Xenopus tropicalis: one gene and its partners. The protein of the gene in region 6 interacts with the protein of the main gene of each other region in a pairwise test. Links are inferred from orthologs where the notes say so. Each region holds a gene or a part of one and is shown on either strand. Other genes may lie near its edges. The genes, in order: kif5a, nup54, ccdc88a, trim9, trio, exoc1 and sybu.

Evidence for each region.
Region 1: the proteins of exoc1 (region 6) and kif5a interact in a two-hybrid assay, tested with the Homo sapiens proteins (2 studies listed by BioGRID and IntAct). The link is inferred for Xenopus tropicalis from reciprocal best matches to the Homo sapiens genes EXOC1 and KIF5A.
Region 2: the proteins of exoc1 (region 6) and nup54 interact in binary tests that used the Homo sapiens proteins (3 or more experiments, as listed by UniProt). The link is inferred for Xenopus tropicalis from reciprocal best matches to the Homo sapiens genes EXOC1 and NUP54.
Region 3: the proteins of exoc1 (region 6) and ccdc88a interact in a two-hybrid assay, tested with the Homo sapiens proteins (2 studies listed by BioGRID and IntAct). The link is inferred for Xenopus tropicalis from reciprocal best matches to the Homo sapiens genes EXOC1 and CCDC88A.
Region 4: the proteins of exoc1 (region 6) and trim9 interact in a two-hybrid assay, tested with the Homo sapiens proteins (2 studies listed by BioGRID and IntAct). The link is inferred for Xenopus tropicalis from reciprocal best matches to the Homo sapiens genes EXOC1 and TRIM9.
Region 5: the proteins of exoc1 (region 6) and trio interact in a two-hybrid assay, tested with the Homo sapiens proteins (2 studies listed by BioGRID and IntAct). The link is inferred for Xenopus tropicalis from reciprocal best matches to the Homo sapiens genes EXOC1 and TRIO.
Region 7: the proteins of exoc1 (region 6) and sybu interact in a two-hybrid assay, tested with the Homo sapiens proteins (2 studies listed by BioGRID and IntAct). The link is inferred for Xenopus tropicalis from reciprocal best matches to the Homo sapiens genes EXOC1 and SYBU.

What each region holds. Positions count from the first base shown.
Region 1 is NC_030678.2:140,743,357-140,746,856, reverse strand, and holds part of kif5a (kinesin heavy chain), read right to left. Parts: intron 2,779-3,500; coding exon 2,751-2,778; intron 1,343-2,750; coding exon 1,264-1,342; 3' UTR 1,223-1,263; intron 1-1,222. UniProt on the Homo sapiens protein: Microtubule-dependent motor required for slow axonal transport of neurofilament proteins (NFH, NFM and NFL). Can induce formation of neurite-like membrane protrusions in non-neuronal cells in a ZFYVE27-dependent manner.
Region 2 is NC_030677.2:81,656,434-81,660,243, forward strand, and holds the end of nup54 (nucleoporin p54), read right to left. Parts: intron 3,667-3,810; coding exon 3,573-3,666; intron 3,291-3,572; coding exon 3,183-3,290; intron 2,850-3,182; coding exon 2,730-2,849; intron 1,874-2,729; coding exon 1,763-1,873; intron 857-1,762; coding exon 728-856; 3' UTR 501-727; downstream 1-500. UniProt on the Homo sapiens protein: Component of the nuclear pore complex, a complex required for the trafficking across the nuclear membrane.
Region 3 is NC_030681.2:24,456,901-24,461,063, forward strand, and holds the start of ccdc88a (girdin), read right to left. Parts: upstream 2,801-4,163; 5' UTR 1,853-2,800; coding exon 1,790-1,852; intron 1,021-1,789; coding exon 920-1,020; intron 1-919. UniProt on the Homo sapiens protein: Bifunctional modulator of guanine nucleotide-binding proteins (G proteins). Acts as a non-receptor guanine nucleotide exchange factor which binds to and activates guanine nucleotide-binding protein G(i) alpha subunits.
Region 4 is NC_030684.2:96,135,436-96,138,935, reverse strand, and holds part of trim9 (E3 ubiquitin-protein ligase TRIM9), read right to left. Parts: intron 3,357-3,500; coding exon 3,203-3,356; intron 1-3,202. UniProt on the Homo sapiens protein: E3 ubiquitin-protein ligase which ubiquitinates itself in cooperation with an E2 enzyme UBE2D2/UBC4 and serves as a targeting signal for proteasomal degradation.
Region 5 is NC_030682.2:71,189,035-71,193,190, forward strand, and holds the start of trio (triple functional domain protein), read left to right. Parts: upstream 1-1,356; 5' UTR 1,357-1,531; coding exon 1,532-1,574; intron 1,575-4,156. UniProt on the Homo sapiens protein: Guanine nucleotide exchange factor (GEF) for RHOA and RAC1 GTPases. Involved in coordinating actin remodeling, which is necessary for cell migration and growth. Plays a key role in the regulation of neurite outgrowth and lamellipodia formation.
Region 6 is NC_030677.2:40,673,869-40,677,368, reverse strand, and holds part of exoc1 (exocyst complex component 1), read right to left. Parts: intron 3,497-3,500; coding exon 3,386-3,496; intron 584-3,385; coding exon 519-583; intron 1-518.
Region 7 is NC_030682.2:134,354,344-134,357,843, forward strand, and holds part of sybu (syntabulin), read right to left. Parts: intron 209-3,500; coding exon 106-208; intron 1-105. UniProt on the Homo sapiens protein: Part of a kinesin motor-adapter complex that is critical for the anterograde axonal transport of active zone components and contributes to activity-dependent presynaptic assembly during neuronal development.

The DNA of each region.
Region 1 (3,500 bases), on a different chromosome or scaffold from region 6:
GTTGTGTCGGCAATGCCTTTAAATCATTTATTTGCAGAAATGAGCAAAACAGCACAAGCTTTCGGGGGTGACCCCTTCCTTGCACCTGAGGAAGGGGTCACCCCCGAAAGCTTGTGCTGTTTTGCTCATTTCTGCAAATAAATGATTTAAAGGCATTGCCGACACAACTGGTGTGCTTCTTTCCCTTTGCAAAGCTACATGGAGAAAAGGCTTGGGAGCGGCCGTGGAAGTTAAGCACCCTCTGAGAACATGTATGTAAGTGGTGTGCTGAAGATTTTTCTTTATGTTGACCTACTCAGAGAGGACAGCATCCAGGGCCTGATGTAGATTTCAACAGGGGAGCTATATGGTCAGTGGGGTTATGGTTTTGCCAACATACATGGGCCACAAAGCTGACAGGTTGGTCAGAAGTGGCTAAGCCAGGGGACATTTACATTACCCCTTGGGCAAGTGCTATATCACAAGAGCATGCCCCTTAGTGCTCATTAGTATGCACTTGTGCCCTGGGGTAAACTGCGCAAGCACAGCTTCAGGAAGCCCAGCCAAACCTAAGGCTAATGCCACACAAGGCGTAGTGTGGATATTTTCGGCAAGCGGAAAAGCGCTTGCTGAAAATTTCGCCCTACGCCTCCTACATGTGCCTGCACCCGAATGAATGAGATACGCTCGGGTGCAGGCACATGTAGCCAATATACGCATGAAAATGCGAGATAATGCAAAGTCTCGCGTTTTTATGCGTATATCAGCTACATGTGCCTGCACCCGAGTGTATCTCATTCATTCGGGTGCAGGCACAAGTAGGAGGTGTAGGGCGGAATTTTTGGCAAGTGTTTTTCCGCTTGCTGAAAATATCTGCCCTACGCCTCGTCTGGCATTAGCCTTATCCTTGCTGCATGCTGCTCACTAACATGCACATCTTAATTACTCCACCTGCTCCTCCCCAATACAACACAACCAGCACTGTATTCATGGGGGGAACCGCAGGTCTCTGAGCTCCTAAGTGGTGTGCACACAGAAGATTATAATGTGCATAGTGCAAAAAAATGGCAGATTGCACACTGTGTTCAGCTTCACAAATAACTCCTAATATTTTCCCGCATTTAGCCATCTGTAAAGCAATATTGACAGCAGTGAGGAAATCTTTTCCTTCAATATTCCATAAATAATGACTATACATGTGAACTGACCAGACCATTTAAATGGGTTATAAAGTAGGTATTACCTGAAAGTGCACATGATATGAGAATTTATATGACTGCGTTATTAGCTGGCTGCTGTCTCCTGATGAAGAGGGAACAACTTGGACTGATCCTCAGCTTCACAGCCACATGGCAAATCGCTTCTGTAGTGAAAATAGAAACATTGTTTTGAAATAATGCAACAACTTCAAAGCAAAAATGGGTTTATCCGAAAACCCATTATCCAGAAAGCTCTGAATTACAAGAAGGCCATCTCCTATAGACTCAATTTTAAGCAAATACTTCTCATTTTTAAAAAGAATTTTTTTTTCTCTATAATTAACAGTCCTTTGGATCCATATTGGTGACAAAATAATCCTACATTATATAGTATTTTTAAAAACATTTCCTGTTATATGAAATACTGTTATATTAGCTGTACAGGATAGACTTATTAAATATCCAACAGGGAATTCCAGAGTGATTCACACCACTTTTCATATTAACACTTTCCTGGCTGTCATTGATTTTTCAAGGAAAGTGAAGAGGACAATTTTGCACACATCTCTATAAATCGTTAAAAGGGTTGTATGTTGTGTATTTATTAAACTAGAGTTCACACCAGCTCACCAGAAAGATTTTTTTTTTTTTTTAGATTTACTGAAGGGTAAAAAAGAAACTATAGGGGTCAATTAAGACCACAAGCGCAGTTGGAGTCCCACAAATTTCCCGCCAGTTAGTTGCCCATAAATCCCCATTCATTAAAAGTTAAAATGTGCTCCTTGCACCTCTGTATAGTTGCCTTTGTGCCTCTCAGTCCTTCATGCTTCCTGTTCCGTATCAAGCACAGTTGCACCTATTGACGCAGAAAATCCCTTTAGCTATTGCCACCTCTAGGCCAGGCGGTAGCTCCAGAATTCCCTTAGTGCACTGTATCAACAGGCGCAGCATGCTTGTATCTAATGAATCAGCCACACAAAGCACTCTCTCGCCAGACACCAGAAATAACGCCAACTGGACTTCAGTGAAAGCGTGTTTAATTAACATTGAAGTGCAAGTTAATTTTGATACATCAGCTACAATCGCATCAGGGACAACTCCCCCTGGTGGTGTAAGGACACTGGAATTATGTGAAAAAATGCTGAATAACGGGAAAAAACACAGTTTGGGCTCAAAATTTCACATTGCTTGCTGCACTTGGCGTTTAAAATGATCCGTTACATTTCGTATTGATAGCACAAAACAATACCTCAGTATCAGTAACAGAAAGATATCTTTCTATTGATGCGCTGTGTCATATCCTGATTAAGTTTAAATAGTGCTCCATTTTCAGTGCTGGGTACAACTGCTTTAGAGTCTTTGGTTAACATTCAAATGCAGTTGGCATTACAAAGAGGCTGTGATTTATTGTAGAGTAAGCAAGGGTAACGCTGTTCAAGGTTTGATATAAAGAAGGAGCATTATGATGGGAAATATACTTAGTGACAGAAGAATGCATTTTCATTGTATTTGTAATCTTTGTCACCTTTGGAATGAAGTCAAAAAGTAGAAAACATTATTAGTGCTTCTTACCTGTTATCATTGATATCTGTAGCATTTCCTGTGGGTATGAATATAACAAACATCAGTTTTATAAATGTAAATGAACCAAATAACAGTCACATTTCTACCATTGTCACTGTATCCCCTTAATAAGGAAATCAATTTATATAGGAGAGCAATGGATTTTGCAATGTGCACTGTGCATGTATTTCTGAGACTGTGTACTTACCAACTGAACCCCTGGAGGCTCTTATGGCTGGTCCTGATCGTTCTACCTCCTCCTCTGCCCACCTTATTAGCCCAATGTGTAACTTATAATTTAATTAAGACCCTTTATAAGCCTGCCACTGGCCATTGTCCTTGCTTGGTCATTAAGCTTTCTAGCCTAGATCTTGCCCTCTTGCGATTCGTGTTTTCCTGTTCCTGAGACCCCCATCTGGTTCCCAGTTCCTGAGTCCTTGCCTTGTTCTTTGTTTCCTGTCTTGTTCCTGTACTCATGTGCCCCTCCTAGCTCTGTTCTTGTAAATTTCCCAGTTTTGTTCCGTTCAGTTTTGTTCCGTCAGCTGCCTGTCCCGACTACTGGCCTGATTACTGATCTACATTTTTGACTGCCGATTGTTCCTGTCACTGGCCTGTATATTTGTTCATATTTTCAACTTGCACCAGTTGCTGTTCTGCTATTTTGTCTTCATTAAAACCTTGCATTCATGTTATCATGGCTTCCCAGCTTGGTTCTGCCATTTACGGGTATACCCCGAGTTACCCAGTATACAGACTCCC
Region 2 (3,810 bases), about 41 Mb from region 6:
TAGCCAAACTTACAAGAAAATTAGGAATGTTTATATTGCTGTTTTCAATGTTCTTTAGGGACAATAGCATGTAGGATTACATGAAGTGGCACTCTTGTTTAACTTTAAATGTATCAAACCTAATTTGGCCATACACGGCCAATATAAGCTGCTGATTTGGCCGCTCCTTACCGAGACACCATCTTTTTGGCCCAATTATGGGTGCCTAAAAATCAGGCAGGTATTTATTGGGCACATCTGATAATCCCATAAGATGAGGACCACATGTGCATTTCTGTGGTTCACATCTACCTGCAGTAGGAATCGAACTTTAGGCCAAATTGGGCTAATCCAACCATAGCCTCAGTGACCAGAGCATTGGTGGCCTAATTGGACACATCAAAATGAAATTTCAATGTGTATGGTCAGCTTTTATTAAGCTACAGTGCTTAAGGGCAATGGTAACAGGGGTACACTAGTACTTGATAGGTGCCCCTTTCAGAAAGCAAAAAAAAAAAATAGCCTCTAAAAATATTTTAATCTGGTAAGAGCAATATAAAAGACATTTAAATTTTCTAATATTATTTTAATGAGATGTTCCTCTCAAAAGGATATGGTGGTAGATACGATAACTACTTTATTGCTAACAGAGGAACTACAACCTTGCAGAAGCTTGTTCCTGATGTTGAATTGAAAAATGTTGAATTGAAGTTGCCAGCGCTTAACATGTAAGAGTTTGTGTGTCTTGTCAGCTTAAGAGTCCAGTTCTCATGTGAAGACTATCATTGAGTCCTTGTTCGATTAGTTTTATATCCTCAAGGTTGTCTTTGATAATGCCGATCAAATGGCTCAAACCTTCTTGTTGTTGTTTTAGATGCTGGGAAAAGGAGAAGAGTTTAAATCACAATTGTGTACATTAAGGATACAGAATGCAAAGCAGCACAATTATGAATGTCATTCCACATTGGGATCTATTTTAAATGTGAGATTCTCTTTTAAAGAAATACATATGTATTTCTAATAAAAAAGATGTTTCAACTTTAAGTTGTGAATGAGTATATTTGCATTATTATTTTAATTATCTATTTTGGCCACTAGAGAGCCTCTGTGAATTTCTCTGTCTTTTTAGACTTTGGGATTATCCCTGGCCTCTGTTTTGAATGTTTATATAATGAACAGTGATTGAGACAAAGCATTATAATATTTGGCTGTTCTGAGATATGTAAAATAAATCTCAATAAGGATTACTGCTTTGGAATATTCAAGCTAGACAAACTTTGGACCTTTTATTGCATTACCACATGACTGCAGTAAATTTAGGCGTAAAGAAGTAGAAGTCAGAAATAATATGGTTTAAAATGTTTTTCAGCCATGCCTGGGGCATAACTTGCAGTGCATAGATTAGAATATTTGGCCTATAGGTTGGCCTATGAATACAAAAACCTTAAATAATCAGCAACTGAATTAGTCTCATTTACTAGTTGTGCAGAAATAAACTAATTACCAGTTTGATTAAAAATGTTTGGAAATGGCCTATAACAGGGCATACAGCAAAGGGGCATAGCAAGCACATAGTACACCACCCTGTCTGTTATAACACATTCATATATGCTGATCCTTTAATGTGCATGTACTCCTGGCAGGGACTAGAACCAGACAAGCTAAAGTAGAAAAAGTGGGTATCTTGCAGCACATAAGTGCAACCCAGAAATCTGCACTTCTTTTCCCCACAAACAGTTCAAATAAATAATTAAAGACAGCTATTAAAATGCAAATAATTTACCTGTTTGATCTCTCTCAAAAGATCTGCATCAACATAATATTTTTCTTCAGACCGTACAGCTCCAAAGTGATTCTGCATTCTTATTTGTGACATGAGTTCATTGAGTCTACCCTAAAAACAAGGTTAAAAAGTAATTTTGTCAATCAATATATTTATGATACACAACACAGGAAAAAGCAACTGTTAGTTAGTTGATTCTTGTCTCATTTGCTGTGACCTAGAATGACAAAGTTTTTAAATTAAACCATTGTTTTAGTTGCTGCTTCTGTTTTATATGTAGAGACTGCTATATAGCTGGAGGAAATAAACAGTTGATGTCAAACTTGCAGCTCTTTGAGGGCACGAAGGAACACATTTAAAATGTGTAAAAATAAATTCTAGATATGCACATAGTAACAAAACACCTGCACATCACTTGAATAATCCACAAAACAGTATCTAACATTATGGTGGCTGCAAAATCATATTTTAAATGTGTGTGCAGTATGCAGAGCCAGCAATGAGGCACATAAAAATACTTTTGTTCAGTTGTAAATCTGACATTGGTGTCTCAAAATAAGTTGACTCATACTGTCATTGGATTTTAAATAATTACAGAGCACACATAAAGGCAAGGTGGTTTTTTTTTTACATAAACCCAAACAACATACATAAAATGAATGTTGAGTAATACTCAACATTACTTATTTTCACCAAAATCAACTGCTTACTCTGTACAGCTTTCAAGCGTGTTTGGTGCAAAAGGATATTACGTGACTTGCCCCACAACTTCAGTAGAGGAGGTGTCTGAGGGACAACAAAATTAACTGACTTGTCAAAGGCCTTGAGAACATTATAAAGGAACTTAATACAAGCATTTGACTCGGAGTCCAGGAACAACTAAGCCATTCCCCCCCCCCCCTTAGTAAAAAGACACTAAGAAGCACGCATATTTGACCAAAGGTAGAAATTACATTTTATTACTCACCTTAAACTGGGTTGGTGCATTAAGTTCACTCTGGATTGTGTCAAGCTGTACACGTAATTGCTCTTCCTCTGCTTGGATAGCAAATCCACTTTTCCTTTGTATTTCTTGTTTAATTAAAACCTGTTTAACATACACTGCACTGTAAATTTAACCTTTATATCCCATACAGTACAAATTGTTTTTAAATGCATGAAAGCATCTTGAACTGTCCCTTCTTTTTTTAACAAGCAATGGCAAAGCAATGCTAAGTGCCAAATAATGCCATAAACAAGTTAAGCATAAGTACTATGTGTGCTTCTGCACCTAAAAGTCAAAAACACAATACAAAATTGGTAGCACTTTAGCTTTTACGTAAATATAACAACTCAAAGATTGAGCATAACTGACAAGGGAATAAATACTGGGCAGTGCTTGAATGCAAATTCTATAAAAGTTTGAGGGAAACATTATTACCTGAAGTACCCTGTGAGAAAGTTCCATTAGTTTCCTTTTGTATTGGCCAATTTTAGCCATTGTTGTAGCTTGGTTTTTCTGAAGTTCTCCAATATCTTCCGAAATAATCTGAGGATGATATTTAGGCCATTAATGTTTTCTTTGAATTTTACCCTATATATGTATCATTATTATTGTATTTTATTTATATATGTCACTACTTGTAGACACAGTGCTGTTCATTAAAATAATATATTAAGAAAAATACAATAATAGAATATAAATACAAAATGACTGTTGCAATAAAGAATTAAGTACTAGTAGTTTAGAGACAAAAGAAAAGGAGATTCCCTGTATAAGAGAACCATAGTCTATATAGGGGACAATGAAAACATTGTACTTAAATCTTACATCAAGTCTGCTCTGGTGTTGCTTTGTCATCTGATCTTGGACTTCAAGTCTTCTCAGCAGCTCTTTGAAGCCAATCATAGGAACAGGGATAAGCCTGGGACAATAAAAAAAATGTTAGTTGTGTCTACAGCACTGGTATCTGTTTGCATATCTCTCGTAACAGGCTTAACACCAGAACAAAATTTTCTGTCAGCATGTCTGTATAAATGCATAATAAAAAAAGAGCAAATATTTGCAC
Region 3 (4,163 bases), on a different chromosome or scaffold from region 6:
AGACACCCACAGCAAAAATCAATTATCTCATAAATTAAAAAGCATTTATGCTAATAGCATGTGTGCGATATACATCCTGCATTTGTCCTAGAAATATGGGCCAACAGCACATATTGGTAAGTGAGCAACACATGAAGGCCAGCTCTCCCAGCCTGTGGCTCGTTGTGACGTCACTGCCTGGATGTGAGCCACTTCCTTATCTTGGCCTGCAGCCCCTGCACATGGCTCAATGTCTTCTAAGCTACAGATTTTTCTTAAGACACCCACATAGCTTTTACTTCCTCCAAATACTGAAAGGCCTTCCCTGCTGGAGATGCTTATCCGTTACATTAGACTAAGCCGATGAACTTATAGTAGTCTAAAGCAATACATTTTCTGAGATTAAGGACAGGCTCGTCGCTTCGATAAAATGGGTCATTGGAATTCACAGATCAGATTCCTGTCACTGTACATAGGTGTCAATGTCAATCAAGGATTGCAAGCCCTGTTAGACTCACTGAGGAGGAGGGGAACCCCCCCACACAAACATACATAGGCTAAGATGTGCCAGTCCCTGGTTCTGCATCACAGTGCAGCGGGCAAAAGGGTAACATGTACCAAAGCAGGAGATATTTATTACCAGGTCATAGAAATCTAAGGGCAATAAAGATCCCCCACCCTATAATTGGATAACTGATTTGGGTTATACAGACGTCATGCTAGAAAGCACAATTCTTCATTGACTGTCAGCTAATTATGCTTAGTTAATTAACTCTGCTTGTTGCTCTGATACTGTCTGCAGTGGCAGGAATCTTTATCATATATGTCTGTAGTCCTTATACACCATATAATCTCGACATGATCTAAATGCATATATAAATTAGCACCAGGGATACCATTATACAGATTTTTGCTTTTTTATGATTGTGATTGGACTTACATCTGAAACATGACTTCATTCAGAAACACACCGTCTATTAACGCCACATATTCGTCCAGCAGGGTGCCAGTCCCTCTGAGCAAGGTGCCAAAGGTCTTGATCTGCAGGGAGAGAGAGGGTTAATCTATAGGGATGTGCCAGGGGGCTGATGGTGGCACCACGCTGCAGGGAGAGAGAGGGTTTATGTATAGGGATGTGCCAGGGAGGCTGATGGTGGCACCACGCTGCAGGGAGAGAGAGGGTTAATGTATAGGGATGTGCCAGGGATGCTGATGGTGGCACCACGCTGCAGGGAGAGAGAGGGTTAATGTATAGGGATGTGCCAGGGGGCTGATGGGGGCACCACGCTGCAGGGAGAGAGGGTTAATGTATAGGGATGTGCCAGGGGGCTGATGGTGGCACCACGCTGCAGGGAGAGAGAGGGTTAATGTATAGGGATGTGCCAGGGAGGCTGCTGGTGGCACCACGCTGCAGGGAGAGAGGGTTAATGTATAGGGATGTGCCAGGGGGCTGATGGTGGCACCACGCTGCAGGGAGAGAGAGGGTTAGTGTATAGGGATGTGCCAGGGGGCTGATGGTGGCACCACGCTGCAGGGAGAGAGAGGGTTAATGTATAGGGATGTGCCAGGGGGCTGATGGTGGCACCACGCTGCAGGGAGAGAGAGGGTTAATGTATAGGGATGTGCCAGGGGGCTGATGGTGGCACCACGCTGCAGGGAGAGAGGGTTAATGTATAGGGATGTGCCAGGGGGCTGATGGTGGCACTAAGCTCAGGGAGAGAGAGGGTTAATGTATAGGGATGTGCCAGGGGGCTGATAGCACCACGCTGCGACAAGCTGCAGGAGAGACGCGCAGAATACGGACGCTTACCCATATCACCAAAGGGCTGGACATAAAATTTTCCAAGATCGGAGCAAAAATTTCGTTCTCCATTTTCTACAGCTAAATAAAAATAATGACGATAATCCAGCGATTTAATAAAAAAAACCAGAGGCAGATATTCCTAATGCGATAGATGTCTCCGCTGGTCCCGGGGTCGCCGAGCCATTTGAAAAGGAAAAATCCTAAATGAAACGTAGCAATCCCCCCAAAATGGAAACGGTTGGAGAAATGTTCCGCCGGTACCAAATCCCCTTAATAAACGGGAGACATTGTGCTGCCGAGCGGCCAGCGGGCCCCCTCCCTCCCGGCGCTGCAGAGGTGCGGGCTGCGGGGCTCAGGGGCTGCGGGCTGCACAAGGGAGAGGCATCATCTGGAGACTGGGAAAGGGGGAGGGAATGAAGGAACAGGAGGGGAGGAGAGAGGCTCTGGGCTTCTGCACATCGCACAGAAAGGGGGGGGGGGGGTGAAAGGGGAAAAGTCGCAGTGTGCTGCCCTCGTCTGCGACTGGCGACCGTGCGCCTAGCCTTTAGCTTCTGCTGCCCTATGCGCCTACTAATGGGCCCCCGTCCGCTCCTGCTTCGCACAGGGGGGAACACTTCCTATTGGATCTACATATTATTATTTGAAAAGCCCAGCATCCCCCAACCCCTCCCTTCTTCCTGTTAGGGATGGTTATTGCTGGCACATGTCTGCCCCTGATCTTCTGCAGATCTGTTACCCCCAGTGACTGGCACTGCCCCCCATTCGCCCATCCATCAGCCCTATAGTGACTGTGCAGCCGCTCCCCCAGCACTAACCGTTATAATGCTGCTGCTGCTGCTGCCCCCAACATTTGGGTTTGGAAGGGAAATGTGATAATACCCCCCCCCCTTATTATTGCTTAGGGTTTCTCTGTAGACAGTTCACAGAAATTCCTTTATGTTGCAGAAGAATAAGCAGCAGTCTGATTTTCACTACACTGCCCCCCACTCTCATAGGAGCATCTGTAAGGAGGGGAGGGGGGAGTGATGCCTAAGCAGAGAACAGCTCTATACTGTTATATCCCCCCTCCCCCAGAATAATCAGGCCTGCACCTCTGCCTGGCTAGGTATTACCCTCTGCTCATTAACCCTTCCTCCCCCTGGCCAGGGCAGAACCCCACACCATGCACCTAGTTCTCTATGGGTCAGGGAAGAACTGGGGTCAAGGGCAATACAGGGAGGGCAAAGCTCCACTACAATAAATCATGGATTAACAATCTAAATTCCTCCAGCTATTGTTAAACTACAACTCCCAGATCTAACTATGGACCTCTGGTTATCGGTTTAGACGTCCCTAATATTGTTAAAATCTTAAAATGACTACAGTGTTCTCTGCACTTAGTAAGGATATTTTCTGGGCTGGTGGGCTATGAGGGTGGTGCTGCTTATAAGGGAGTGTTTATATTTCACTGAGTTATGCCATAGGATCCACAGACAGGGGACAGCAGGGTCAGCTGTAAGCCTTATGGATCCTCCAGGCGAGAAACACAATCCCTGCACAAGTGGGGATATTTTGGTTTCTTTTAGCCACCAGCTGTTGCTGAAGTACACATCTCAGCATCTGAACAATAGCCGGACATTGGCTTAATTCCGATCCTCTTTAAAACTGGACATCCACGTGCTGAAAGACTAATTACCAATGAATTTTCATCCAGAAATCGCTGCAGCCTGCATCTGAACAAGCTAATTAGACATTGGTGCAGGGCGGGATGGGGGCCCTGTGTCAGCTTTGGATGATATAACATAAAAAAAAGAGTTCTCTAAGCTATAGCCCTAAAGTTCCCACAATCTTCCTGGCATTCTATGAGTTGCAATTGAATGGGGCAAGGCTGCAAAGCAATCAGTGCATCTAAATGAATGGATAATTGTTTATACTGAATGTGATTTTAGCACAGGTCCTGTTCCAAAGGGGCAAGGTTGGGCATATCTGGTGGCTTTATACAAAATGCAAGGCTGCGTATCTCTCATTTAATATATACCCTACTATTATACATGGTGCAATAAGGTATTTTGGCACATTATAATGTCTAGAACCTGGTTGGCATTTGGGTAAAAAAACAAAACCTTGCGGAAGGTGCAGGTTTTGCATCAGAATACAGACGGAGCAGTGATACTGTTTGTGTTTAGCTGCCATCGTGAAGTCAACTGAATAATTATTGGGATGACAGTTACTATGGCAACGCAGCACCAACAATGCAGAATAGTGACTTGCTTGGGAAACCCTCCTGGGGCACTGTATTGACTTTTAGCCAATCTTGGGGTTGGGGTGCCTGCGGGAGAAAGCCTTGGAATATGAAGGGTTAAGTCAGCAAGAAGGCGCTGAGACAGTTGATTGTGAGAAG
Region 4 (3,500 bases), on a different chromosome or scaffold from region 6:
AGTGTGGTAAATGGTGACACTGTTTCCCTGTTAATGTAGAACATTTTGATAAATATACCTGAATAATAAAAACCCCATGAAAGTATAGATTCAAGGAAGCATTATGCTACTTTGTAAATGATGCTGCAAAATAAAGAGTGAGTGTTGCCCTGAGCTAAACTTGCTGAGATGAAAGAATTTGCTGGCCAATGTTTGGCAGTGTGACAGAGGAAATATTTGTCTGAGGAAGGAATTGCACATACAGCAGTTACCTGCTAAATTACTTTATTTAACACTGACAAACAACAGCACTTTCTGTTACTTGTCCAAGTGAACCTCTTAAGGAGACAAGCAAGGTAAATGCTTGAAAAGGAGGAAGCAGAAACAAGGTTTTCAGCTCAAAAAATTATTTGTGGTAATTACACATCAGACTACACTTGTGCCTTTAGACATAAATACAGTTGCAATATGAAGGACTCCAACAGATTTCCTAGGCCCCCAGAGTCCACAGCGGTTCTACAGATGTCTTTGAATGACATTTTCATTTTCTAGATTTAAAATCTGTTGAATGTGTTCATGTGTTCAAAATCTGTTGAATGTGTACATTATTGTACCATCACCTTAAAGAGCACATGCATCTATACCGCTGAGGGGTGCAACTAGTGCTAGATTAAAAATATGCCTCATATTGTAACATTGTACATGTATGGGACCTGTTATTATTATTATTATTTACATTTATAAAGCGCCAACATATTCTGCAGCGCTGTGTTATCCAGAATGCTCAGATAAGGGATCTTTCTGTAATTTGGATCTCCATCCTTAAGTCTACTAAAAATTAAACAAATACTATAGGATTGTTTTTCCTCCAATAAATATTAATTATATCTTTGATCAGATACAGTACAAGGTACTGTTTAATTATTACAGAGAAAAAGGAAATAATTTCGAAAAATTTGAATTATTTGCTCATAATGGAGTCTGTGCAAGATGGCCTTTCCGTAATTTGGAACTTTCTGGGTAATGGGTTTCCAGATAATGGGTCCCACATCTGTAGCATGAATCTCACATAGGTACAAGTAACTTTTCAGGGGATACCCACACCGTTTCTACAGCGGGGTGCTGCTGCCATGAAGCGAGCTCAGGCCACAGCACCCCCAGAGTTACTAGGGGTGGCAAAAAGCTGCTGAATTTAACAGGTAACTTTAAGAGCCAAAATTCGGCTCTGCTACTGCAGAAAGCGAAACTGCTTCTCTAAAATAGCGATGCGCCTCCCGGGACCCCCTATGGCACTGTAAAGGTAAGCACGGGGGGCTCAGGGGTCAGAAACGCCCCTGTTTCAATGAGTACAGAGGCTTTAAATTCTTTAATATTCTTGGTAAAGGTATTTTTCTTTCAACTAATCTGTTTCTTTAAATACATTTTACAAACAAAATATTCATGTTTATTCTAAATCCAGTGTGCCTTTTACTGAGCATCTGTCTGGATAATAAGCACCATTCAGGCATCTAATTATTGTGTGGCTGTTTTCAGCCCACGATTTTGTGTTGGAGTGTCGGATCTGATCTTACTGCTCTTGACAAGCAAGAAATGACTCCCACGGGCTCTGATAAATCTGTGCCTTCCATACATAATCAATTCTATAAACCTATCCAAGATAAACCCATTTTAAACTAAAGCCTATAATATCTTGACAAGTATAATGGAAATACTGGTTATAAAGAAATAAATTAATATAAATATATATATATATATATATATATATATATATGTGTGTGTGTGTGTGTATATAAAAGTATGAAAGTATGTGCAGGTCCAGAACTAGGGGTAGGTAGAAGAGGCACGTGACTAGGGCGCAATGGTGGGGGGGAATGAAGTGCAAGACACATATCTCTTCTGTTGCCTACCCCTAGTTAGGGCCCTTGCCCTCCATCGCCCACATCATGTCTACCCCTCCTAATAGCACACGGGGAGGGTTAAGGTGACGAGTTAGGTTGCCTAGGAGGCCCAGCCAGCTTAGACCGGTGATGTGTGTGTCAGGACAATATTTACAGCATATATAGGCACCCTAGAGCCTGGAATGTACAGTGCCTAGGTTGCGTGTGTTTGTATGTATATGTTTGCTTGTGTGGGTGTGTTTATATATTTATATGTGGGTGTGTTTGTATGTACGTATATAGACTGAGAGGAGAACAGCCAGAAAATTAACAAAGTAACCTACATAGGTTGGATTCCACTACACAGAGCCTAGTGCTGTTCTCTGATAGCAACTTTGATAGTTATGGCAGCCCCCAGTACAGGTACCATATCCCTATCAGGGGCACAATATTTGTAATATGCTATTTTGCAAAAAACATTTTTTGTATTATTGTGTTTAGCATGTAAGATCACTGATATATCTAAGTGGGTAATGAAACCCACCTCTACTCACTGAAGCATATAAGACATTTGCAAGTAAATTGTAAACATTCTTAGGTGGTACTTTGTAAATATTTAATGTTATTATTACAACTTTTTACAGGATTCTGCTTGATTTCAGTCCCATCTGAGCAGAAGAACTGAAGAGATTATGTTAAGGAACGCTAATGGAGCAAAAAATCCCTTCCACTGTGCAATAAATACACTGTATTGTTATAGAAGCTATTCACATTCCTCATGCTACACCCATAACATTCCCTTGAACAGACAATAATAAGAATCATGAAATGCACATTACTCCTTTATGTTAATGTGGTCAAATATGGACCTTTTAGCCTTCCACCCCCAGCCTCACTGGTTCTTCCATTAGGATGCTCTCAGTGTTCTACCCCTCAGAAGCCATGTTCCAAAATTTTGCACTGAAACACTTTGAAATTTTGACTGAAACACTTTGTCTGTAAATTACTGGGATTTGCTGCAGTTTTGGTCCACACAGGATCCTGCTGGGTCATTTAATATTAGATAATTGGATTACCACAGGACAGATAATCTCCCTGCATAACTGACTCTGGATAACAAATCAACCACAACAAAGAAAGAAGGAAGAGGGATATATAAAGTCAACCTAACTGGCAAGGACCAAACATGGAGTATCTTCCGTTCCACTACTTGCCCTGTTTAGCTCAAGAATTAAAAAAAAAACCTAACATTTTCATGATTAAATTAATAGGTTAAAAGTATATCATGCACATATACATCTGTATTAATAAGTATCTCATCATGTGAACAATATGAGACAGTTTACCTTTCATCTGTACAAAGTCGAGTTGATGGATCGACTGCAAGAGTGGTGCACTGTCCAGATTTAGATCAAAGTCGGTGGTCATTCTAGGGGTGAGTGTTCCTTTCCCCCACTGATCCTCAGTCAGGTGAACTCTCCGAATAAGGGCATCTGAAATCTAATTTCACACAGTATTTAGGCATATAGCTTCAACATCCTAACTGCATCTTATTTTATGGTAATTGTATTTTATATAATTGGCAGGAAAACAGAAGGATCTTCTGCCCTTACGGTAAAAAAAAACATGGCATTGTATAATAGT
Region 5 (4,156 bases), on a different chromosome or scaffold from region 6:
TCTTCAGTGCCGGATTTCAAATCCGGACGCCCGCCCCCCACGCATGCGCAAACAAACCCACCTCCCCCTGTGCCACGCCGACGCAATCGCGCATGCACTGGCATTTAAACTCCCATACGGAGCAGTGGGGAGAAGTCCCCATTGCTCCGTATGGGAGCGAAATGTCACAATTTTTTTGCGGCGGGGCGGCATGCCGCCCTAGGCCTGGGCCTTTGTGGCCTCGCTACAAATACAGGCCTGGGTATCTTACTTGTCTCTTATATATTGTCTCTTAATCCAAATACAAATTGGTAATGCTCACCTATAACAACTTGTTACATACATATATTGTCTCTTAGTTGTTGTGCTTTTTGTTCTACCATGAGGCAGTGCAAGCTCATAGTACTCCCTAAATGTTAGCTGCCCAGGTGTCATGAAAATTAAAACGTGCATTACATAAGCAGATCTGGGAAGCAAATATGGAAACTGACGGCTAGGCCTTTTTAATTTAATATATCTTCTGAAGCAGTAACTATTGCCTCAGAAAGCATTGGTCACACTTGAAAAGCAATTGTGAAGACTAAACACACTACAACATTTCTGATTCCTCATTATGACCCTTTGAGGTTTAAAGTGGGCTGCGTAATATAGCCCTCAGCAAATAGGTGCACTGACTCAGATGTTCACCAGGAAATTTACTCTCTCCAAAGTTATGGGATTTTCATAATTTTGGCAAAATTATCAAATTTATTTTAATTTACTCATTCAAGCTAAAACTGCACAAATGCATTTTTTAGCAGTGTAAAATTTTCAAAGAGAGGAGCCTGAAACACAATACACTAATAATCTACTAGCACTAGAGGAAATCCTTTTTTGGCCACAACTCAGACTGCAGAATGGAATTGCTGACCTTGCAACAATAGTAGCTTGCCCTGATTTATGTACTGAAGCAGCAGTGTTGCCTCCTTCTTGTCATTTAGGCAATATATTATTTTGTTTTTCATTTTATGTGACCAGTATAATTAATTCTGTTACTGCATGTTCCAATATCCTACAAACAGCCAGTTTTGATTCTGAAAGTGTGTTATTTTGGTACTTCTGACATATTAGCTGTTTTTCCTTTTGGGAGGCTTACTGCATTAATTAATGAACCAGTGATGTGACATCATATGCAGCACATGCATACTGGCCTGAGACAATCTGGTATTTATTTTACTGAGCAAATCCAATCCCTGTCTTCCTCTTCTCCTCCTATTTCTTCTCTCCGCTCTTTCCTGCAGAAAAAAAAAATGTCCAGCAGTGACTCATCCATTAGCAGCTTGAGCAAAAGAAGCCAGAGGCAGCAGCTTCTCACTACCTTCTTTGCTTGCATTGGTTGCTTGTGATAAAGCATTCGCACGGATTGTTTACCAGCGGATGCCTTCATTTTTCTTAGTATAACAGTGAACCATTTGTAACTAGGCAGCAATTTGGCTACACACTGCCTGTGTTTGTGTATTATCGTGTGTACATTTTATGTGATTATAATTTAGTCCGTGGAGGTTCGGGGAAAATGCAGACTCATCGCTGGAAAGATGACGGAGAAACAACATTAGGTTTGTCTAGGTTTCTGTTTTTGTTTCCCAATACAATACGTAGTTCTTGACTGGGGTATTCAGGTGCATGCAATAAATGCATCTCAGCCATGTAAAAGAGAAAAAGAGTACAGATAGTATAGATAAACAACCATCATGTTATGATTATTGTTTACCTTTCTGCATGTGGTGTCATTCATTAATTGGAGCATATTTGTACATATTAATCAGCCAATGGTGCATTCTCAGGATGAAACATGTCAAACAAATTGATGCTTATATTTATAGTAAAAATTCATGGTCTACCCTGTATAAATACTACTTGTCTGTGTCTACATATTTGGGACAGTGTATGGCAGATATTTGTTTTTCTAACTCATTGCTCTGAAAAGAACTGATATTGCTAGTGTTGTCATGAATATGCTGCAGTCTAGCTGGTTTCTTATTACATTTCCTAGCAGTGCATCTGCATCTCTGACAAATATACAATAAATAAATTAAATAAAAAAAGAAATAAAATACACCACAGTTTTTCTTATGATGAGGTAAGGCAGATGCTGCTGTTGCTGGAGAGGAGTTGACAACCTAAGATACTAGACAAATTGTGGGCTCAAACTGCAAATTCATACCATAAGGATCTGAAAAGGGTTAAGGTCATCCAACATTTGTGGAACTCCTTTAAATACGATATTACATTTGTGGTCATGTTTTTTAAAAGTATATTAAGGTACTTTTCTTTGGGCTATGTGGTTTGCCTACAAATGTACTTGTTTATGTAGCATTTTGGAGATATTGTTACATGTTTGAGATCCCTTATCCGGAAACTTGTTATCCAGAAAGTTCCGAATTACGGAAAGGCCAATTCTCATAGACTCCATTATAAGCAAACAATTCTAATTTTTAAATATGATTTCCTTTTTCTCTGTAATTATAAAACAGCACCTTGTATTTGATTCTGACTAAGATATAATGACTCCTTATTGGAGGCAAAGCAAGCCTATTGGGTTTATTCAATATTAAAATGATTTTAGCAGACGTAAGTTATGGAGATCCAAATTACAGAAAGATCCCTTATCCAAAAAAACCCCAGGTCCTGAACATTTTGGATTACAGGTCCCATACCTGTACTTAGAAAATGAGGCCATAGAATAAAGCTGGCCATACATTGAAACATTTGCTTGTTTTCAAATGAATGGATCTTTCCCTGATAGGCCCAACTTGAGGGGGTGATATGATTGATCCATGATCTGATTGGGCCAAACAGTCGGCTCACATTGATAGGATACAGGCCATTGGGATAAGTCACCAGGCAAGCCATTCATGCAAAGACAGCAGTTTGGATCATTTACAATTTACTTTATATATAACATAGTAACATAGTAAGTTGGGTTGAAAAAAGACATGCGTCCATCACGTTCAGCCATAATGCCTATATATACCTGCCTAACTTCTAGTTGATCTAGAGGAAGGCAAAAAACCCCATCTGAAGCCTCTCTAATGTGCCGCAGAGGGGAAAAAATTCCTTCCTGACTCCAAGATGGCATTTGGACCAGTCCCTGGATCAACTTGTACTAAGAGCTATCTCCCATAACCCTTTATTCCCTCACTTGCTAAAATCCATCCAGCCCCTTCTTAAAGCTATATAATGTATCAGCCAGCACGACTGATTCGGGGAGGGAATTCCAGAACTTCACAGCTCTCACTGTAAAAAATCCTTTCCGAATATTTAAATGGAACCTCCCTTCTTCTAAACGGAGTGGGTGCCCTCGTGTCCGTTGGAAGGACCTACTGGTAAATAAAACATTAGAAAGGTTATTATATGATCTCCTTATATATTTATACATAGTTATCATGTCAACCCAGGTGCCTTGTTTACATTTATCTTGTGTAACCTTTTAAGCACCATATCCTGTGTCAACCACTGTGTAGTTGGATGTGGCATCCTTGCAGCAGGATCTTGACCAACTGGCAATCTGGGCGGCTAAGTGGCAGATGAAATTTAATGTGGATAAATGTAAGGTCATGCACCTGGGATGTAAAAATATGCAAGCCACTTATACCCTTAATGGGACTGCACTAGGTAAATCCATAATGGAGAAGGACCTTGGAGTCCTTGTAGATAATAAACTTGGCTGTAGCAAGCAATGCCAGGCAGCAGCTGCAAGGGCAAACAAGGTTTTGAGCTCTATTAAAAGGGGTATAGATTCACTGGAGGAGGGGGTTATTCTTCCCCTTTACAGAGCACTGGTAAGGCCCCATCTAGAATATGCTGTTCAGTTTTGGTCTCCAGTGCTCAAACGGGACATTCAGTTAGAGAGGGCCCAGAGAAGGGCAACTAAGCTGGTAAAGAAAGACTGGCCAAGCTGGGTCTGTTTACACTGGAGAAGAGGCACTTAAGAGGTGACATGATAACTATGTATAAATATATAAGGGGAACATATACAGGTATAGGACCTGTTATCCAGAATGCTCGGGACCAAGGGTATTCCGGATAAGAGGTCTTTCCGTAATTTGGATCTCCATACCTTAAGTCTACTAAAAAATCAATAAAACATTAATTAAACACAACAGGATTGTTTTGCATCCAATAAGGATTAATTATA
Region 6 (3,500 bases):
ATGCACTTTCAAATGACTAGAAAATACCATCCACTACCTAGCATTTCACAAAGCTACAGGGTCACAGAAGGAAAAGTATCTCAGATACAATCTCAGATACACTGACAGTCCACACCAACCAGGTTACCAAGCAAGGTGATAATAAGATAGGAATATATAATGATACAGTGGCAAGGATAGAGAAGGTGGGGCACAGAACTTCTTAAGAATAACGGTTCCACACTTAGCATGAAAATAAATTTTACATCCCCCAGTTATTTAGGCTTCCTTGTTCTTTTAAATGGTTCCATCGTAACAAGATTAAAGGCATGTAGATAATTTCATAAGGCAAGACAAGTGAGAATCAGAATACATTGCCCATCATAAGGAAAAATTATGTGAAATTATATGAGAAGCAGATTTACAAGGCAATTCAGTATGTATTATCTGTATTCTGGCAAAAGATTAGAATGGTAAAACCCTGTTTCCAGGTTCATGTCAATCATATGGACAATTAAATGGGAAAAGTCAGAACATACTCTGACTGTGCTCCGGTGTTTTGGGTTCGAGAGGAAACTCCTCCATCTGACTCGTCTGTTTCGCCCTTGAAAAGACAATGGAATTAGTACAAGAAGGAAGAACTGAAACACACTGCTTAGTTATGCTTTCATAGTCAATAAAACAGAAATCCATGAGCTACAGACTAAAATACATTGGCTAATTGCACATCCAACTGTCAATGATAAGACTACTGGTAGCCCAGGGCCAAGAGTATTACAAGTTACGGAATAACAATGGGACTAATATCCATAATCAGTCTTAGCACTGGGCACATTATATGTTACAGTTAAAGGAACAGTAACACCAAAAAATGAAAGTGTATAAAAGTAACTAAAATATAATGTGCTGCTGCCCTGCACTGGTAAAAGTTGTGTGTTTACTTCAGAAAGTCTACTATAATTTATATAAATAAGCTGCTATGTAGCCATGGAGGCAGCCATTCAAAGGAGAAAAGGCACAGGCACTTAGCAGATAACAGATAAAACACTATTGTATTCTACAGAACTTATCTGTTATCTGCTTTGTAACCTGTGCCTTTTCTCCTTTTTTCCAGCTTGAATGGCTGCCCCCGGGGCTACACAGCAGCTTATTTATATAAACTATAGTAGTGTTACTGTAGCAAACACACCAGTTTTAACAGTGCAGGGCAACAGTGCATTATATTTTTATTACTTTAAAGCTCTTTCATTTTTTAGTGTTACTGTTCCTTTAATAAGCAGTACTAAAAATCTGACATTGAGGTAGTGCTGGGTGGGGTTGAACCTAAACCTAAACCTCCCTGAAGACAATTATAGGACAGGTTTTTAACAACCATAGCATTGGGTAAACTTGATGTATAGGAGATTTATTTAGCTATATAAAGGAGTGGGGGATTAGGATTTTTCTGTTTCTTAACTGATAAATTAATTACTGCACCATTGTTATATTGTTTACAGTACAATATAACTAACACATTACAGAAATGCAAAGCATTTGTTTCATGATGTCCATGTGGCATTTTTTAAAACACATTATTGAACCCAAGACCCAGCTCCTTGGAGCAGGCTTGCTCTGATTTCGTTTTCATGCTGTTACAGATAATAACACTGCCCCCAGAACCATATTAGGGGAGGCAAGGTCAGAACTAGCAGTAGAGTGGCACTGGAGTGCCTATTACTGATCCATTAAAAATATAAGTGAGACAGACTTTAAGAAAACCGCAACAGATAAATGAAATAAATTATTTATGCCTTCATAAATTACATTTACTAATCTTCCCTCTATGCTTTTTAACAACATTCCTTAAGAATTTTGTGGTTTACTTATCCGAGAAGGCTAACATCATAAGCTTGTTAAGTCAAACCATGCTGTTTCTGTCTGACCTTTTAAAGGAAATACTGCTTATGATTGCTGGCCATCACACAGGGCACTGAATATGTCCTCACCATTTTATTCTAGTGTGCATGATTATCGATATCGGGCTAATCAAATTACAATGAGAGGCATAGGTGCCGTCTGATCGGGGACTGCATCAATGAGCCGATGCAGCCCCAATCCTAAGCAAAATCAAACCTGATAAATATTGGCCCGTCGGGGGTGCCCATACATGGGCAGATAAGCTGCTAATTCGGTCTGTAGGACCAGAATCGGCAGCTGAAATCTGCCCTTTTATGGGCACCCTTAGATCTGATGGATGGGCAGCACCCACAGAACAATGCATTTAAAGATTTCTAGAGAAGAGAGTACTGCTTGTCATGTAGGATTAGTGGGAACACCTATTTGCGCATGCAGAAAAGTAAGGTGAAGGCAATATAGATTACGCTGGCAGGCAGGGCCAGTCAGTGCTGCCATGGGCCCCTCCCGCTGCTGCCAGGCTGCTCACCCTGCCCACATGACCACTGCCATCTGCACTAACCCACCTCAAGAGCCAACTGGCTCCAAGACAACTTGGTGGGAGACTCAAACGGTTGTCAAATCCTTCCACCCAGGCCCAGGCCTTTGTTACCTTTACATATAAACAGGCCTGCTGGCAGAACAAAGATGGTGGCTGCGAGTTCCTCTGAGGACATCATTTATTGTGAGAGAGTAAAAGTAAAATCTTGTTTGGAAAGAACAATGTGGCAATTCAAAAGGGTTGATGTTATGCTACTTTCTTTGTCCATTAAAGGGACTTTACAATTACAAATTAAAGGGAATTTACAATTACAATTTTATCATAACGTAGTGCAATTTTTTAGTTTATACTTTAAATGTGTCCTGATTGGGCAAAGACTAAAACTGCCTATATACAATGAGATTCCCTACTTTGGCAAAGATCAGATTGTACAGCGAGCCTATGGAGACTCATTGGACTAAATTTTAAAACTTGCTGAGAGATATCTCACAGATTTTTGACTAGATACCAGGCCCTCCTGAAAGCCCCATACACAGGCTAATGAGATGCCAACTCCATCTGGAGGGATAATCTCAGCAGCTATTATTAGCACATGTATGGCCACCTTACCTTAAAGAGAATTGAAAAAATAACGCAAGATTGTTGCACTCCATATAATTTTACTAAAAGTCCCAAAGTTTGCACAAGGTTCTCTAACCATAGCGACCAATAAGATATTTGCCAGTAGATACCACATACTGATTGGTTAGTATGGATAACAAGACCTGGTGCAAACTATGGGACTTATAAAATCGCCTCTTTATGTAAAATTATTTAAATATCATTTAAAAAAAAAAAAAAAAATCCTGCCCTCCACATGCATAGACCCTAGGGGAAAGAGGGTCATGAGTCTAGTTTAAAATAGATTGCTGTAAAAACCTGCAGGTTAAATAGAATAGTAAAGCAAATAAATAAATGCAGGGTGTGCCTTACCATTGGAGTTCTAGACATATTCTGGTGCTGAGAAAGGTTAAAGAATTTACTGATGAAGTCTTGTTCTGCCAGACATAGTGGCTCCAGTTCACTTAATACCTGTTCAAAGATCTGA
Region 7 (3,500 bases), on a different chromosome or scaffold from region 6:
CATATTACACCATGCAATAGCGGTTAGAGATCTCTAATATAACTAGTAAGAAGTCTGACCTGCAGCTGGGGGTGCTAGGGCTAAGTCTGTTCAGAGATAACTTACTTGCGTGAGAAAGACGCCTTTTTCCCAGACATTGCCGTCATATGGACTTCTGGTGCAGAAATGCTTCCCGTGCTGCTCGACGAACTGAAATCAGCTTCACTGCCTACAGTATGCAAAGGGAAAGCAAATGTAAGGCAAAAAGCACTCCCAGACTGCTCATGATGTTGCCTACAAAGCAAAGCCAGGGACAGCTCAGCAATGGGGGAGGAGGGACTGCACCATACACACTGCATTATGCAGAGCAGAGTTAATAGAACCGTTTTAACTATATTGCTATGTCCTGTCCCAGGCAGAAAATCTATATCTCAGCTGCACTTACCTTCAATCAGCTAGTTCTCTTGAGAGAATAGAGATAATTAAAGTTAGGGTTGAAATCAGGCATCAGGTGTAGCTGCTAATTTTTTTCCGGCCTCTGAACCAACATTTGTTGAAGAGCCCCACACAACACAGAAACCCCTAATATACCTACTACTGTATTCCTTCAAAAAGTAGGAATAAATACCATTTTTATATGTTGAAATCCAGCTGCAGGGGAGGAGGGACTAAAACATTGATGTTACAAATTGTAACAACTTCTCCACAGCTTACAGACAGCATGCAGGAACTACATAACCCACAATGCATTGCAGTGATATTCCTTTCCTTATTGACATCATGTGTGCAGGGAATTGTGGGATTGGGAGGATGCAGGCTAAGGGCGGGCTGAGGGCATTCAACTACTGTTACATTTTTGAGTCTCAAAGTAGTCAGCCAGATCAGCAGGAGAACAATTAATTGATGTATATAGCAAAGTTTCTTGAAAAAATGTTTTCTTTTCAAAAAGCTCAAGTGTTGTGGATGGAGTTCCCCAAAGATGATTCCCTTATAGCCTTTCAGAGCTGGACTATTGTAGTGGGAAATGGATGAATTCTCTCAATTTGCCCAATTTACCGTTACTGTAGCCATTTTGCTCAGCTATATCAACTATCACTACATTTTCTATATACACTTACAAAAATAAAAATAAAAAAAATAAAATCCTGCGCAATACAGGCTACTTACAATGTAGTAGTAGTAGTATAAAAGCAATGAACATATGAAGTGTCAGCGGTAGCTCAACACGTTTCGCGTGCTCTCTGCACGCTTCCTCAGGAGCAAAGCAAAATAGAATGTTATTTTTATATTAAACTATTTTACACTATATCTGCCTCATCTTCTATCCTATATACATTGTGAAATTGGATCCCTCTTCAATCAATGCCCGGCTGGGATTGACCTACATGCTTCTTTTTAAGATGTTCTGGTGAGCAGTTACAACACCATTATAATATATACAGAGTTGAGGTCACTTTATCTAGTATTGGTGTTTGACTAAGCACTCACGTTCTAGTTTGTTTATAGTTTTTTTGATTCCTTTATCCCATTGATCTGCACCATATTTTTTGTTTTGTTTTGTTTTACTTTTATGCGCTTCCATCAACACTACTGCATACATACTTTGAGGCTCATCTAAAGGGGAGCTGATATCAAGAGGAAGCAGCACGTGATTCACATTGGTTTCTCACTATATTGAAGACTTACACATACGGACCTTTTATCAAGAAGCGCTGGGTTTAGGAGTGTTTATTCACTTCTCAAACACTAGCCTAACTAACATGCTAAATGAAATGTGTAATTCCTACTGATTGTGTATGAGGGAGGCCTAGAGAAGTGGCAGGGGGCTCAACCTAAAGACCACTTAGGGTAAGGTGTGGGATTTGCTCTTCTAATTACTGAAAGTCCGACACTTAGGGGGGCAATTATTAACATTCCTTTTTTTTTTTTTTGCTAAAACTCAATTTTTTTGGGAATGGAGCATAGAAACCACGAAAAAACCCTAATGCAAAACTTTGCCATCCAAAAGCTGTCGAGGCCATGTAGAAGTCAATGGGAACTGCACTGGGCAAAGTCCACAAAGATTAATGGGAAAAAGTAAATCCCACAAAAAAAAAAAATTGTGGTTTTTGTGTTCTTTTCATTTTCATTCTGCATTTTAATTTGTTTGTGATTTTTGAATCTTTTAATAAATGACTAGACATTTGTGGGTTTTAGTGGAGTTTATTTGTTCGGAAGCGCAGAAAAATTCTTATGTAAATGAGGATTTCAATGTTTTCTTATTCGGACTCTTTTTGCATTTTTCTTTTTTTGTGCTTTTTAGAATAGGCCGTTTTATTACTCTGCATTTGTGGTTTTCCATGGTTTCAAAAACCACTAAAATCAGAATGTGTTCCTCCTCAGTTACTATAGAACAAAGGCAATTCCATTTTCCATTGCTAGTATTATTTGCTGGTCTCAGAATCACTGTTAAAGAATGAATATCAAATTTAATTAAAAGGTAACAGGCTACAAAGCTCTGAGCTCTTTGTGCTGCAGAAAATGTAAACAGCGCTTCTCCATTATTCTGCCCAAGATATATTGTTCCCTGCCAACTGGGTTTCATTAAGTTGCTATGGCCTAAAACAAAAGGAGATGATAAATATTTAGGCTGGGCTCCCTGCTGCCCCTTGTAACACTGCTCCCATAGCCCAGGCAGCAAACCATTGCCAACAGATGGAACTGAATATCTGCTTTATCCCCCCTAGTGGAAAGTGGGTTTTTTTCCCCGCCGGTGTAGCCATGGAGACAGAGACTTTAATAACTGCTTGCGCTTACGGGTCAAGTAAGCAAATCTACACAGCTCCATGGCAACAGAACGGAAAGGAAGGCGCAGCCTATCAGCAAGCAGTTTATCTGGGCAGAATGTTAACACTTTACGTTTAGCCTCATATTGAGAAGTTTATTGGGTTGACTTTCGTTTCCATTAGACCAGTGCTGTCCAACTGGCGTGCCCTGTCTGGCTACTTTGATGGCTTACCTTTGTGTAAGTTTAAATGGTATCAGTACTGTGATTAACTGCCCCCTGCATGGTTTACATCTCAGATTCAGGCTGTAAACCCCCTGTATTGTTTAAAAAAGTAATCCCCTGTGTAGTTCGCACCTTTTAATCTCTGCATTGTTTACCCTCTGCAGTGTTCAGGCAGAGTATGGCACACACAGGCAGGGTAGGGCAGGCAGAGTATGGCACACACAGGCAGGGTAGGGCAGGCAGAGTATGGCACACACAGGCAGGGTAGGGCAGGCAGTATGGCACACACAGGCAGGGTAGGGCAGGCAGTATGGCACACACAGGCAGGGTAGGGCAGGCTGAGTATGGCACACACAGGCAGGGTAGGGCAGGCTGAGTATGGCACACACAGGCAGGGTAGGGCAGGCTGAGTATGGCACACACAGGCAGCGTAGGGCAGGCGAAGTATGGCACACACAGGCAGCGTAGGGCAGGCGAAGTATGGCACACACAGGCAGCATAGGGCAGGCTGAGTATGGCACACACAGGCAGG